2 linked regions of the Struthio camelus genome follow. The protein of the gene in region 2 interacts with the protein of the main gene of each other region in a pairwise test. Links are inferred from orthologs where the notes say so. Each region holds a gene or a part of one and is shown on either strand. Other genes may lie near its edges.

What was found. The genes of interacting proteins can lie anywhere in the genome.
Region 1: the proteins of KXD1 (region 2) and MAP1LC3A interact in binary tests that used the Homo sapiens proteins (3 or more experiments, as listed by UniProt). The two-hybrid records come from large-scale screens. The link is inferred for Struthio camelus from reciprocal best matches to the Homo sapiens genes KXD1 and MAP1LC3A.

The regions. Positions count from the first base shown.
Region 1 is NC_090959.1:3,825,949-3,833,302, forward strand, and holds the start of MAP1LC3A (microtubule-associated proteins 1A/1B light chain 3A), read left to right. Parts: upstream 1-4,348; 5' UTR 4,349-4,489; coding exon 4,490-4,529; intron 4,530-7,354. UniProt on the Homo sapiens protein: Ubiquitin-like modifier involved in formation of autophagosomal vacuoles (autophagosomes). While LC3s are involved in elongation of the phagophore membrane, the GABARAP/GATE-16 subfamily is essential for a later stage in autophagosome maturation.
Region 2 is NC_090967.1:5,912,407-5,919,396, reverse strand, and holds KXD1 (kxDL motif-containing protein 1), read right to left. Parts: upstream 3,002-6,990; 5' UTR 2,843-3,001; intron 2,198-2,842; 5' UTR 2,183-2,197; coding exon 2,088-2,182; intron 1,931-2,087; coding exon 1,778-1,930; intron 1,070-1,777; coding exon 1,023-1,069; intron 595-1,022; coding exon 359-594; 3' UTR 126-358; downstream 1-125. Other genes in the region: peptidyl-prolyl cis-trans isomerase FKBP8, read left to right, coding at 3,275-3,353, 4,211-4,510, 4,944-5,113, 5,533-5,621, 5,803-6,020, 6,101-6,273, 6,397-6,474.

The DNA of each region.
Region 1 (7,354 bases), on a different chromosome or scaffold from region 2:
TTGCGTCTTGTAGGTAGTCTAGCTGCTAGCTTGTGCTTTAGCCTTCTCACGTGTCTGGCCTCAAACTCTACTTGTGGTAGAAGTGTTCTACCAGCGTGAAAAGGAGTTTCTCCAAGGTGCACCTGAGCAAAGATTCACGTGCAGTTGATGCACGTGAAATGTGCTTTACAATAAAAGAGGAGACTTTCACTGCAATGTCACTGGGGGATGCTATTACCTGTGCTTGTGAAGGATCACTCCGATTGATGTTAGCAAAAGTGTATAACCTGGTTTTAGCCCTGTTTAGCCTTCTCTCAAATTTATAAGCAGTAGTAGGAACATGTGATACTGTCCAGTTCTGCACCCAGGAACAGACTTAAGAACTTCTTACGGGTGATCTCAGCAGGTCAAGGTGATGAATATTCTAGATGATTGGCTGCAGTGCAGTTTTGGGGTCTCTAATATAAATGTTGAAGTGTTGACTTGGACACTTGTTGGATTTCCAGGTCACAAAGCAATAGGGTGCAGGTATGGTGACTCGGATCACTAAGACAATCTGTATCTTCAAGGTTTGTTATTTATGCCTTTTCAGAGGTGAATATTAATTTATGGATGTAATTTTTTTTTTTAGATAGTGTTTATGACCGTGAAGGCCATTAACATTTTTTTGGAAGATAAGTGAAATTCTGTCTTACAATTATACATCTAAGGTCTGCAGTCATGCTCTGTATCTGGAGTAGTTCCTAATATACAGCAGCTTGTATAATGCATGTGATCTGTTGTCATTTATTTTAATTTGATATTGTCTCCATAAAATGATCTTCTGCAACCTGAATTCTCTGGATAATAACTGAATAGTGAGGCAAGTCAGAAGAAAAATGTGATTTCAGTTATCTTCCCTATCTTCTGTTGTTGACAGGCAGAAAAATGTTTCCCTGGAGATGGTGATCTGCATATGTATTTTGGCTTTCCCTGTTAGGTGGCAGTGTTACTTCTGTGAACAGTGAGAAACTCCTTTAGGGTCCTGTGTTATTCTGGACACTTGCTGAAGGCTAACTATCCTTCAACGGTTCTCTGTTGTATCTGGGTTTGGGACAATGTTGAGTGTGTGGGTGATTTTTTTTTTCATGTTTATCTTGTAATAAACAACCCTATTGCAGAATTAAGATGATGCACACTTTCTGCATTGTGTTGAGATCATCAAACTTAAAGTGAAATTACTAGGTTCCTGCCATATGCTGATTATTTTTCAATGACTGTTAACAATTAGTCAAGCTTGAATATAGTCAGGACCTTGAGTACTGGTTATTGAGTCTGAAGGAGTTTACTGAATCCAGCTGGTTAGGGGAGGGTCATGCTTATGCCGTACTAATACCACTTCTACCCTACACTTCAAAGTTAATTCAGATTTTTAAAAGGGGGGAGAGGTGAAGCTGAAGAACAGCAACTTCCATTTGGATACTCTAATATGGAGGAAAAAGTGTCCAATTTGGATTGGGAGTATCAGTCATAAAGATGTGGCTGGAAGTTATTCCTTTGCATGCAGAGTTAGGGGAGGATTTTACTTTTCCTAAAAGCCATCTTAATGAGCTTCAAGAGAGAGACTGGATGAAGTCCTGCTTCTTGCCCTGTGCTTGCTGAGGCTGGGCCTAGTCCTTCATGTGATAAGATAGTAACTGTCCATTGAGGAAGAACAGAAAAATAAGCATTGTGGACCTAGCCGGCAAGCATTACAAAGTGATTCAAAGGAGGGCTTGAATAACCTCTAGGCTGTGTGCCTAAGAGCTGCTTTGTGTTGTGCTTGCAGAGTGTAACTTGCTGTCTTTGACAAGTAAATTTTGATGGGTCCCTCTCTGAAGATGGAGGAAGCATCTCTTTAAGATTTGGAAAGCAAACCCTAAAGTATTAACAAGCTAATGAAGTACAGTTTTGAGGTATGGCTCTGGGCTGTGAACAGCAACACGTGAGACCCAAGGACATATTCTCTTCTGCTGACTCTGCGCAGAGGACTGGAGGTGATAACACTTTAAGACTGCAGAAGCTAGACTCGTGGAAACTCATCTTCTATGGACCTTAGAACAGCTCTTTTAAGCTGCTCCAGCTTGCGTTTGTTCCAGTGCCCTCGCAAGCAATTCCTTCATCTGCCCGAGATGGCTGAGCTCTGAGTGTACAGCTCTCCTCTCAGCATATCAGACCTTTATCTCTGATCTGGTCTAACAGTTTTATGTATAGCTACATCTATAGGTGATGAAAGCCTGGATTAGAGAGTTATGCCAATATAGGCTGGCCTTATGTTAGTAATGTGTAAGAAAAGCTGTGCCAGCTGGGGTGATCTGCAGGTGCAGGGGCAGTGAGCTCTGATAAACACTGCCATGTCAACAGAAACCTGAGCATCAGCACAGTTTCTGTTGGCAAAAATGGACTTTTTGCTAGTTTGCTTGTTTGTTTTTTTTACCAGCATAACAGGATTTCTTTGGGGAGATTTCCTTCCACTGGCATGGTTTTGCAAACAGCCAGGGCTGCTTATCAGTGTTGTTTACCCCAGAGGCATACTGACATATGTAAAGCTTTATTGTTGATTCTAGGTCATGTTAGGACTGCTCTCTGGTGCTGAATTGATACAGCTGGATCCTTTCCTCCTCTTTAAACCTCTGCTTGACCTGGGGGTTTTGGATCTGAAGTCCAATAGATCTAAGGAATTGCACCAATAACATCAGAAAGAGCAGGCAAGAGAGGTATTGGCGTGTGCAAGATTTTTCAGGAAAGGTGAGGCAGAAGGGAGAAGCAAATAAATCACTGGGGGCATTCTGCTGTATTAGCAGTAAAATTTCCTTGATCCGTGTCCCATTTATATAATTAAAATAATATGTTGGAGAGCTGCAGAGCTTCCATGAATCGGTATCTTTTCTCCCAATCTGTGTGTCTGAATAGAGTTCTTTGGAATTATGGCCCCAGTCCTGCAACCTGATCTGCATGTAGAGGATCAGGGATTAAATCACTAAATTAGAAAAGAGTTCCTCATGCCTTTCATCAAAAATTGGTTAACATTTTATCACATAATAATAGTAGTAAAAAATATCTTTTGTCTGAGCATGCAGTATGTAGTTAATCAGCTTGCCAGGTCTAATTCAACTCTACTTACTTCACTTTTCTATTTTCTAATTAAAGGGACCTATATTGGAAATGAAGGTTTTTACCTGCATTTTAGTTATAAAAGTGAAGCTGAGGAGTTTACTTTTCAGTATGCACACAATTCTTATTGAGGCAAGAAAAATCCATTAAGTTAGCCTTGAAAGTTTAAAGGCAAATTATTTCCCTTTGGGATAAACTCTACAAGGGGGAAAAAATGTTAGAGTCTAGTTAACTTTTCCTTTTAATTGGCGACACTTTTAATAATTGGAGCAGTTGGTCGGTTTGTTTGTTTTTTTTTAAATAGATGCGAACTTTCATGTCTCCTTTTACCAAACGCGTACGTATCCATTAACGTTTTGAGGTCGCCCAGGTTCCATGCTGATTCACTGAAGCGTTGCATCAGCATAGTCCAGCTTTTGTCGCAGCCCATCTGGAGGAACATTAAACACGGCTCCTTGTGCAACGTTGTCATTCTATTTCTGTTGTTTTTTATTTTATTTACGGTAGCTCTAGAAATAGCCTGCCCTACTTGTAGTTGTGCTGTGGGCTTTAAAACATTCAGCATAGAAGCTGCTTTAAACGCAAGACGGAAGAGACTGAGAGGCTCGTTAGGCGAGAAACGATGGAGGCAGCCGCGTGTATGGCAAGTATCCGAGCGGTACAGGTAAGCCTGGTTTACTGCGGAGGGTCACGGATGCGGCCTGCGCGCCTGGCCGCGCGGTGATCCGCCTGCCTCCAGCCTCGCTGCCGGAACCGACAGTACCGTTTGGGATATACTTGAGACGGGATCTTCGAGACTGCCTGGACGTGCCGGGCCTGGCGCTCGCCCCGCTCCCCGGGAGCCGGCCGGAGCGAGGCCCGCGGGCTGCCTGCTCGCTGTCGGCGGGGCACGGCCTTCCTGTCAGCTGCAGAGCACCGGTGCTATTTATAGAGCTAGGAGCCACTGCGGCAGCTGTGTGCTGATTCAGAGGGGAAAATTCCTTCTGCGAGGGGCGGAAGCCGCCTCCAACCTCTGCGGCGAGCGTGAGCGCTGGAAAGCCGCGTGGGGAAAGGGCCTCCATCACCTGAAGGTAATTAGGGGGAAAACAGAAGGAAAGGACGACGTCCGGCCTGCTAGCGGTCGGGCGCTCCTCTCCCCTCAGCCTCTTCCCTTCCGCGCGGAGGCGCCTGCCCGTCCTCGTGACCCCACCCCCGACGCGGCGGCCATCTTCCCGCGGCCCCGCCCCCGCCCGGGCGGGGGCCGGCCGCTGTCGGCCAAACACCGCCTCTTCGCGCCTCCCCTTTAAGGAGCGTTGTGGTGACGTCACCCGGCCGGCTGCGGCTCCCGCTCGAGCGCAGGCCGGGCCGCCGCCGCGCGCCAGACGCCGCCGCCGCCGCCATGCCCTCGGACCGGCCCTTCAAACAGCGCCGCACCTTCGGTGAGCCGGGGCCGGGGGGCCGCGGCCGGGCTCGGGCTCCCCTCCCCTCCCCTCCCCTCCCTCCGCGGCGGGCGCCGGCCGCAGCCCCCGAGCAGCCGGAGCCGGAGGCTGCCCCGCGGCCCTGCGGGGGGCGGCGGCCGGCGGCGCCGCAGCCGCGCGCTGATGTAATGCCGGCCGGGAGCCGGGGGGGCGGCGGCGGCCGTTGGCTTTAACGGCTGCTTTTTGACGGGCCGCCGGCCCTCCAAGCCCGCTTCGCGGGAAGGAGCTGGAGCCTCGGCCTGGGCGTTCCCGGTGCCTGCGCACGGGAAACCGGAGCGCGGCTCGGAGGCGACACGAGCGGGTCGTGTGTCCGTGCCCTTAGCAGTCACCGCGGGGGGGGGACGAGGAGGAGGGAGCCCCTGAGCTCAGGCCTGTGCGAGCGCCGGGAGCGTTCAAGTGCAGAAGTAATAAGCGCCCTGGGGACCTGTGACATCCGTGCCGTAGCCAGGGGCGCGGGCGCCAGAGCTGCTCTGAGCTGGGGGACTGTAGCGCGCAGGTAGGTCTGAGCTGTAACGGTGGCATCCGACTGGCCTCGGAGGCCTGGGGGAGCCTTGCTGCTTGTGTGTCAGCAAAGCCTTTGGGGCCGGGCTTGCGAAGTCCCGTGCGAGATGCTTGTGCGCTGAACGCACAGCCGCGTACGTAAACGACCGGGATGTATTTATAATGACACGCATGTAGTGTCTGCCGCAGGAATGCGGTTATGAACCCGGGAAGGTAACCAAATCGCCTACTTACTTTTTATAGGCCCTTCTGAACATATGTCATTCTGAATAGCTAGCCTCCAAAGGATAAATGCTGTTGCTTTTTATCAAAATATTCGTATCCTTGTCTTATATCACCTTTTGTTGTTGTACTTGACTAGGGAGATACTTGCTGAATAAGCCCCCATGTTTAAAGCATGAAATAATACATTGCTCCAGAGTAAGCGTCATCCCAAGGGTAGCTGCTGTAAGTGAGGGCAAGAAATGTGTCTTTTGCACCTGGCTGAGTCATCAGCCTCCTGTGTGACTTTTTTTGTGTCTCCATTGGAAGAAGTGGGGTAACTAACGACCGTTTTAGAATGGGCTTTAAAGTCTACAGAAAAGAGTAGTAGTCAAAAGCTAAATGTTCTTGTTTCATGTTTGCCCTGGGTCCTGTCTTTAAACTTGTGACTGTCAGAGAACAGTAATCTCTTCAGAAATTACTCTCCCTGTTCCCTATCCGGTTAGCGTTAGAGTCGTTATTGTTCCGAGGGCTTGATACACCTCTTAAATTTTCTGAGTCTTAAGAAAACTCAAATGCTGAGACCATACCCATTACTGTGTTGAAGTGTACTTCGTGGGAAAACTCAAATGACAAAAAGGTTTCCGTAAATGGTACCAGCTTTGATTGCCAAACTTGATAGTGAAATCAGATGAACGTGGACTTCTGTTTCCCTTGACCTTTTCCAGCTGGCATTGGGAAACATGCATGTTTCTGTTGGATTAATTCTGAGGGGTGGGAGGGGAGTATCAGTTGAGCATTGCTGTCTGAATAATGCCAAAGTCAATGTCTTCAGGCCAAATAAGGCCGCCTTCTGTGTCAGATACTGCCCAAACAAAGGTGAGGGTGTTTTCTCTGTGAATTTAAAAATTGGAGTTTTTTCCTACTGAACTGTGGATCCAACCCCTTGCTGCACTCTTGGAAACTGTAAATATTTGTTAATTTATTATCACGACCCTTCTGGCCTTAAAACACTTCCCCAGCCTTCCCATGCTGCAGCAACCAATCCAAGCAAATGTGCACAAACAGGAATAACATGAACTCTGGGTACCCTGGGATACTTTTTTGGGTCCCTGCTGTATCTTGTATTTTCTTAAGCTGTATATTAAAAGCCAATAAAGTTCTGAATTAAACCCTTAGCAGCTACTTACTCTTAAACTGGTGAGAGCCAGCTTCTTATGGCCAGAGTTTGGTTTCCCCTTTGCAAATTGCTCAGCTTTTCTACAAGCCAAAGGAAAACAAAATCCAAGGCTCAGAGGAGGTGAAAGCAAGCAGGATTAAAATAGCTCAGAAGGGACAGGGTGGGGGATGAGGGAGTTTGGTGCTGGCAACTGCAAGTGCTCCTTGTTTCTGTGTACTTTCCTCTGCCCTTTTGCTCTCTCAGCTGACTGGTTTGCAGAATTCTCCCAGGGGGAGGGGAAGGAGGAGGCGGCAGAGGCCTGGCAGCCCACGCAGTTGCTTTGGGTCAGGGCTGGAATTGCTCGGCTGGAGAAAGTAAATACATCTTGTTTTCGTCTTCAAATCATTACACAACAGGAGCAGGAAGTGATTGTTTACAATGCAGTTGGAGAGAACTGATGGAAAATACCTCCAGCTACACTGTATATTCAGAATGGCTTAATTTTTAAGGCTTCAAAACTACAGAAGTGGAACAGTTCCAAAAAAACGGAGAAAAGGCAGAGTCAGGAGTATGACTGTTTACAAAAACTGTTCTGGCTCCAGTTGCATGGCAAATGGCTTGCTTGGATCTTGGTCTTGTTTTGCCGCCCATTCCTGAAGATTCCACTTTCCTCAATGCCTGTTTCCCCCTTCTTGTATATTAGAGACTGAGATTTATTTTTCTATGATTTTCTTCTGCTTGTTGCTCTGCTTGCTGTGGGGTCTGTTCTAAATAAGCTTTCCATATTCATATTCATATTGAGGAATTGGAAAAGGCACTGACTGGGAAACTCTGAGGGCTCAAGTACACTGAGGACAGGGAGTGCTGGCTTCTCGTGTGATCTGAAGTGCCATAAACGGTGAGAGGGTGAGGCTCTGTGAGCTGA
Region 2 (6,990 bases):
CCCAAGAAAAACACCCACACCCCGAGCTGTGGAGAGCGCTCTTCTGTTCCAAAGAGCCAAAGTCTAAATCAAACGTAGGGGTTTGCTGCTCTCCTGAACACACAAATGAGAAAGGACAAAAGGCGTTTCAAATCCATGTTTTACTTATTTGCCTGTATCAGGTTGCAGGGTATGCACTACGGTGGCAGTTTAGAGGCAGAAGGGGGTCTCTTCTTCACTCAGCCGTCACCTCTCAGCCTTCACTTCCCTCTTCCCAAAACAGTAATGGCCAAGGAAACACACAAATATAAATACAGGACAGGAAGTTCTCCACAGGCCAGGCAGCTGAGCTGGCTGTGGCTGTACAGTATCAGTACACCTAGTCCAGGTCATTGGCAGCTTCTTCATCTGTTAGACTCTGTCCGTTCACAGCCGGTGAATCGTACTGGCCTTGTGATAAATCCTCAAAATCCTGACTCATGGTTGGAGAGATAATGTCAGGGCTTGTGTCACAAGACTCCGTGCTCTGCTCAGAGGTAGCAATGGTGGTTGTCGTGCTTTTTGGAACAGGGTCAAAATCATCATCGTCATCTAGAATCGGAGATTCGTGGATGTCTGAAAGGGAAGACGCAGCAGTTAGTTTTACTGCTTTGGCCATCTGTGACAACAATACACAGCCCGTGTAACACCAGGTATGAGAGACGCTCTAACATAAGCACAGCAAAGAGTTTGCTCCCTTCTAATTCAAAGGTTTGACTGCTTGTAACAGTAATCAATAGATGGCTACTAATTTAGGTGACATCAGTTATTTGTGGCTTTGTAACCTCTTAAAAGCATATTTAAGAGAATAAAAAAAGCTCTCCAAACTTTTCACTGCAGCTACCATGAGCTGGCACATGCCTGGATGTCTCATTATTTCTTTCTTTAGAGGGGTCTCAACCCCAGAAAGTTGAGCCATGTGTCCTTAGGAAAAGGACTCCTCACGCTGAAAGCAAGCTGACATAAAAGCTGCAAGTCAGATTTAATAACAAAGAATCACTCACTGCTGAAGGCTTCTGGGTACTGTTTAGCTAGCTTCCCTTTCAGCGTCCTGCAAGAGCAGAGGAGAAAAAGAGAGCCAGGCTTACGCACGAGCTGACAAATCCCCCCCAGCGGCGGGCTGGTGAGTCCTCAGCACAGCTGGCCTCGGGGGTCGCTCCAGAGCTGAACCGCATCCCTCATCCTCTGACGCCCGGCTGCCAGACCAGCAGGCGCCTCCCGCTTTAGTTAGCTCTTTGGGGAACGTTGCGTCTTCCCCGTCTGTTCCCCAGGAAGCCCAGCACTGTGCCAAGAGGCTCCCTGCCCTCGGAGTCAAAACTTCCAGCGTTAGCCAGAGCTCCCACAGCTTCCCTGTCAGGAAACCGGGTACTTCTGCAAACCCCAAGTTTCGTAACCCTCCTGAGCAGCGCGAGCGCTGCGTCCCTCCCTGCTGACGCAGAGGGAGTGCAGAGAGTCACTGGCCCAGCTGCAAAGCCGGGATTCCTAAATTGGGATTCCTAAAGCTCCGAGCTCAGCAACCAGTGCCTCTCCCCACACCCACGTGTTTGCTCTGCTATGTGTTTTTCTCTCTCCACCTGTTTTTGGTTTCTGTGACGGTCCAAGATCCTTCATACAGGGGTGTCACATTTTAATACCCCTCTCTGCAGACAGCAGCGCTCCGTGATCTCTCTAGGTGAAGAGAGACCCTTTGGTTTCTGCATCTTCTCTCTTCCCCCACCACCCCCGGGGGACGTTCCCAGCCCCTTGACCCTGGCCCCACCTGATTCTTCGGAAGATGCTATCCAGGTCCTTTTTCATTTCAACGAGCGTCTTCGTGTGGTGCAAGAACCGCTCGTTCATCTGCTGCATGCGGACACTGGACAGGTTATTGAAGTTGAGCAGCATCTCGTTGGTCTTCTCGAATCGATCCAACCTGCTCAGAGCGAAAATGGGGCTCTGAAGATGCCTGGCGAGACCGCCCCCCCCCCCCGCCCAGCACGGCTCGCTGCCAGGGCCGTGCCCGGAGCCGGGGCACTCGTGAGCGCGGGGTTGGGTCCCCAGGGGAGACCGGTCACCCTGGGGCGACTCACATGTTCTTCTGGGCCTGGATGATGGCGTTGACGTCCTCGGCGTTGACCATGCCCATCACCCGGCCGCAGAACACCCGCGAGGCCGTGGGCTCCATCGCGCCCGCCGCCGCCTGCGGGACCGGCACGGGTTCGACTCGCCTCCCGCTCCCGGTAACAGAGACACCCCCCCCCCCCAACTGCATCCTGGCCCTGGTAACCGAGTTCCCCCCTGCAACTGCATCCCACTCCCGGTAATGGAGGACCCGCCTCCTGCATCCCAGCCCCGGTAACGGAGACCCCCCCCCCAGCCTGTCTTATCCCGCTCCCGGTAATGGAGCCCCTCCCCCCCCAACTGCATCCCAGCCCCGGTAACGGAGACCCCCCCCCACAGCCTGTCTTATCCCGCTCCCGGTAATGGAGCCCCCCCCCCCCCAACTGCATCCCAGCCCCGGTAACAGAGACCCCCCCCGCCCGCCCGCCCGCCATATCCCGGCCCCCGTTAGGGAAACACCCCCTCGCTCTGCCGTTTCTCGGCCCCGGTAACGGAGCCTCCCCCGGCCCCACCGAATCCCTCCCGTGACGGTGCCCTTCCTTCCTCCGTTAACGGAACCTCCCGCCGTCCTGTTCCCGGTATTGGAGCCGCCCCCCCCCCACCCGGTAACAGGGTCCCTCCCCCTCCCGTTAAAGGGGCTACTCGGGCCCGGTGCCTCCCAGCGGCGGCGCAGCGCGGCCCGGTAACGGCTGGGGCCTCCCGGCGGCGGCGGCGGCCCGCGCACCTGGGGGAGCCCGTCCCCGCGGCTTCACATGGCGGGGAGGCACCGGCGGCGGCACCGGCGGCGCGCGCGCTCGCTCGCCTCGCTTCCGGGACGCGGGTCACGCAGCGCGCGACGCCGTGACGTCAGCGCGCCCTTGCGTCACGGCGCCCGGCCGGAAGCGGCGGCCGCCGGCCCGCGGGAGGGGAGAAGCGGGGCCTCCCCGCGCCCGGTAAGGCCCATCCCTCCCCCTCTCCTCTCCCTCCCCGCTGGTGCCGGGGCCGCGGAGACCCGCGACGGGCGGGCCCGGACTTGCTACCGGCGTATAAATAACCCCGGGGCGGGGAGCGCGAGAGGCCTCCGGGGCCCGCTCGGGGCGCCGGCAGCTGCCCCTGCGCCCGGGGCTGCCCCGCGGCCCCTTTAAGGCGGTGCGGTGACGAGCTCTCGCTCCGCCCAATGGCGTTGGCGCTGGCGCGGCGCGGCCGTCCAATGGGAGCGGCGGGGCGGGGCCGGCGGCAGCTGACTCGCGGGCCAGGTGGGAGCGGCGGGGGGCGCGCGGCGGCGGCGGCCGTTGCTAGGGGGAGTCCTCGGCGCGTGACGGCGACGGTGACGTGGGGGCGCGCGCGCGCGCCCGCCCGGCCGGGGCGGGGGGAGAGCACGTGGCCGGCCGGCGGGGGTCTCCGGGGGTCGCGTCGGGCGGCTGCGCCCGCTGCCGAGTCTCCGCCGGTGCCCGGCGTCGCCGGGGCGTCTCCTACCCGCCCGTGCCCGGCTCCAGCGCCGCTTACAGGCTGCAGCGGGGCCGGCGAAGCGCCCGGGAAGGTGGCGGCAGCAGCAGCCGCCAGGCCTCGCTGCCGCGGAGGCCCTCGCCTCCCTGGGGAAGCCGGACTTCGGCCCTGCCGGGGCGCTCAGGCCTTTGGCCTGGACCACGTTCCGGTTGTCCAGCTCGCCGAGAGCAGCGTCGCCCGGGGCGGCCCTTGGGGCTGCCGCTCAGGCTCTCGCGCTTGCCTGCTGCGCAGCCTCCAGCTGCCGGGCCAGCGGGGAGACCCGCTTGCCCCGCACGCAGGTGTCTCAATACACAGAAACAGGCCAGAGCACCTGGCAGCTCGGCTCAGCCTGTCAGTGCATCCCGGCAGAGCAGGGGAGGGTCCCCCAAAACCTTACGGGAAAGGAAAGCGTGATCTGCTATTGCTGGCTGCTCTCTTTGGGGGCTGAGGTGCGAGGTCCGAATGAGCGAGCGACGGCTGCAGCTCTCCATCGGCGCAGGGTTGGTGGTATCTGTCCTGTTCCTAGTCACCGCTTGCAGTGTTCTGTCCAGGCTGGGGGAGGGCTGGCATTTGCGTTCATCCCCTTGGCAAACAAAGGACCAACCTCTTGAATGTCTTTCCCCTTTAGCTTGCTGTTCTCCCTGCTCTGCGGCAATGGCTTCCAGCGGGGAGGAGCAGAGCAGCAGCTCCCCGGACTGGGCGGACAGCGGCACGGACCTGTCCTGCCCGGAGCTCGCTGGAGCCAGCACATCCCCGCTTGACAGCGGGGAGGATTTTGAGGTCTTGGAAGATGATGATGATGACTTGAGCGAGCTGCCCCCGCTGGAGGACATGGGCCGGGTGAGGACCCCAGCGAAGGACTCCCAGTCCTCAGAGCAGGCCCCAGGGGAAGCAGCTGAGGACCCTCAGGAATGGCTCGATGTCTTGGGTAAGAGCCTACAGAGGAAACTTCTGCATCTTCTGCTCCTGTCCAAGGCGCTGAGCTGGCTCACGGAGCTGAACGGGCTTCTTCAGGGGAGGTCGGAGGAGGTGGGCTTCCCCACAGCTCTTCAGGCACTCTGGGAGCAGCAGCGCAGGAAGGACTGGACAGGCAGCTCTGCGCCTGAGCCGGTGCCAGGGGCCGAGGCTGCTGCTGGGCTCCGCCGTGGTTTGTGGGGATCCGTCGCTTAGGGTGGAGGTGGTGGGATGGTCGACGGGGTGACATGGTGGCGCTTCTCGCAGCAGAAAGGCCGGCTGGTGCGGGGGATCGCTGCTGGAAACCGGGGGACGTGGCTCGGAGCCAGGCCGTCTCCCTTTCCCCTCCCCGTGCAGGGCCCTGCCGCTGCGGTGGGCTGACGTGCCTCCGCCTTCTCCTTGCCCAGGGAGCGGCTTGCTCAAGAAGAAGACCCTGGTGCCGGGTCAGGGGGTGGAAAGCCGGCCACGCAAGGGCCAGGACGTCACTGTCCGCCTGAAGGCCACGCTGGAGGACGGCAGCGTGGTGGAGGAGAACCCCAGCCTCACCTTCACGCTGGGAGACTGCGATGTCTTGCAGGTAAGAGCCGGGAGGCCGAGCCCTGCGGCCAGGCTGCGGAGGAGAGCACAGTTAGAGGTGCAGCACTGGGCTCCTGTGCCTGCTCCCTCTAGCCTGGGCCTCCTGCTGACTGGGGATGGTGGGGGGTTTAACTCAGCACCCTGTTTCCAGACCACGTAAAGAAACGAATGTGGGTGCTGCAGGCTGATTGCCCAGTTCTGCCCTGCCGCTGTCCCTGGTTTATCGCTGTGTTGTTCTTACCGCGCTGGGCGGCACCTCGCTGCCCCGGGCCTGGGGCAGTAGGGGCGGCTGGCAGGGTCTGGAGTCGGCGACATCCCCAGCTGCGCAGTTCGTCTGCCAGTGGGAAGCAGCCGCTTGGCTTCCCTCTCTGGAGGGGCAGGACCTTTGCTCACCTCCTTCCACAAAATTGGTCTCTGTAGGCTCTGGACTTGTGTGTGCAGCTCCTGGAAATGGGAGAAACAGCCTTGATCATGTCAGATGCAAAGTACTGCTACGGCCCCCAGGGCAGGTGAGTGGGGAAGGGCAGACCGGAGGCGCTTGGAGCAGCCTGCGGCTTTGGTGAGATGCAAGTAGTGCTAAATCCCCTAAATCCCCATGGCCCAGCCTGGCTGGGGGAACTGGCAGAGGGGGCAGCCGTCAGCCAGGCCCTCGCTTTGCAAAAGCCCTCAGAAGTGCCCTCCTTGATGCAGGAGCCCTGATATCCCACCCAACGCAGCCCTCCTCCTGGAGGTGGAGCTGCTGGAGGCTCGGGACGCGCCGGACCTAGAGCTGCTCAACGGGAAGGAGAAGATAGCACTGGCCAACCGCAAGAGAGAGCGCGGCAACTTCTACTACCAGCAGGCAGACTACGTGCTGGCCATCAACTCCTACGACATCGCCCTCAAGGTCATCGACTCCAGCTCAAAAGGTATCGGCAGGCCTGCCCAGGGAGGAGGGCTGGCCGGGCTCCTGCCTTCCTGGCGTAACTGGGCTCTGGGATCCTTGCAGTCAACTTCAGCCCCGAGGAGGAGGCCGAGCTGCTAGATGTGAAGGTGAAATGTCTCAACAACCTGGCAGCCTCTCAGCTCAAACTGGATCATTACGAGGCAGCCCTGAAGTCCTGTAATCTCGTCTTGGAGCACCAGCCAGGGAACATCAAGGCCCTCTTCCGAAAGGGCAAGGTGAGACTGGGTGCACGGCGGGCTCTGCCTTCCACTCTCCACAGCCCGGCCACGGCAGGACAGAGGGCAGGGGTGAGGGATGGACCCCGAGTGCCCTGCTCAGCTTTGTGTCTCGCCTTCCAGGTCCTGGCCCAGCAGGGGGAATACAGAGAGGCCATCCCCATCTTAAAGGCGGCTTTGAAACTGGAGCCTTCGAACAAGGTAGGCTGCCCTGAGCGCTGCTAGCGATCCTGTTGAGCTGTGCTTTGCAGGGCTCTCCTCTTGGCCATGCAAAACTGCAAACCGTGGTGCTCCTGTGTAAGGGCTGGATATCCCGGCATGGTGCCCTGCGTGCTAGCACCCACGGTACAATGTCCGAGCTTGTCTGAGCTGGTGGGGCCCTTATCTCTGGGCTGTGATACTCTCTCTTTGCCCTTTGGTCCTTGCGGCAGCAGGACTCCCTGCCAACCCATCCGTAGCTCAGCAAGCCTGGGCGTAGGGTCCTGGCTACCCCAGCTTTGCGGGGCGGCTCCAGCGTGTTGTGTTGTTGCTGTTGGAGGTGGAGCACAGCCACGTCCTCGGAGTCACTTGCGGCAGCCCAGAGCATGATTCACTGGGCTGTGGGAGCAGCCCCAGAAGCCCTGGACCTCAGTCCAGCGCCCAGGCCAGCACAAGGCGTGAGCGATCCCTGGGTCAGGAATTTCCGGTCAGTTAATGATCAGCTGCTGGGCTGGAGCC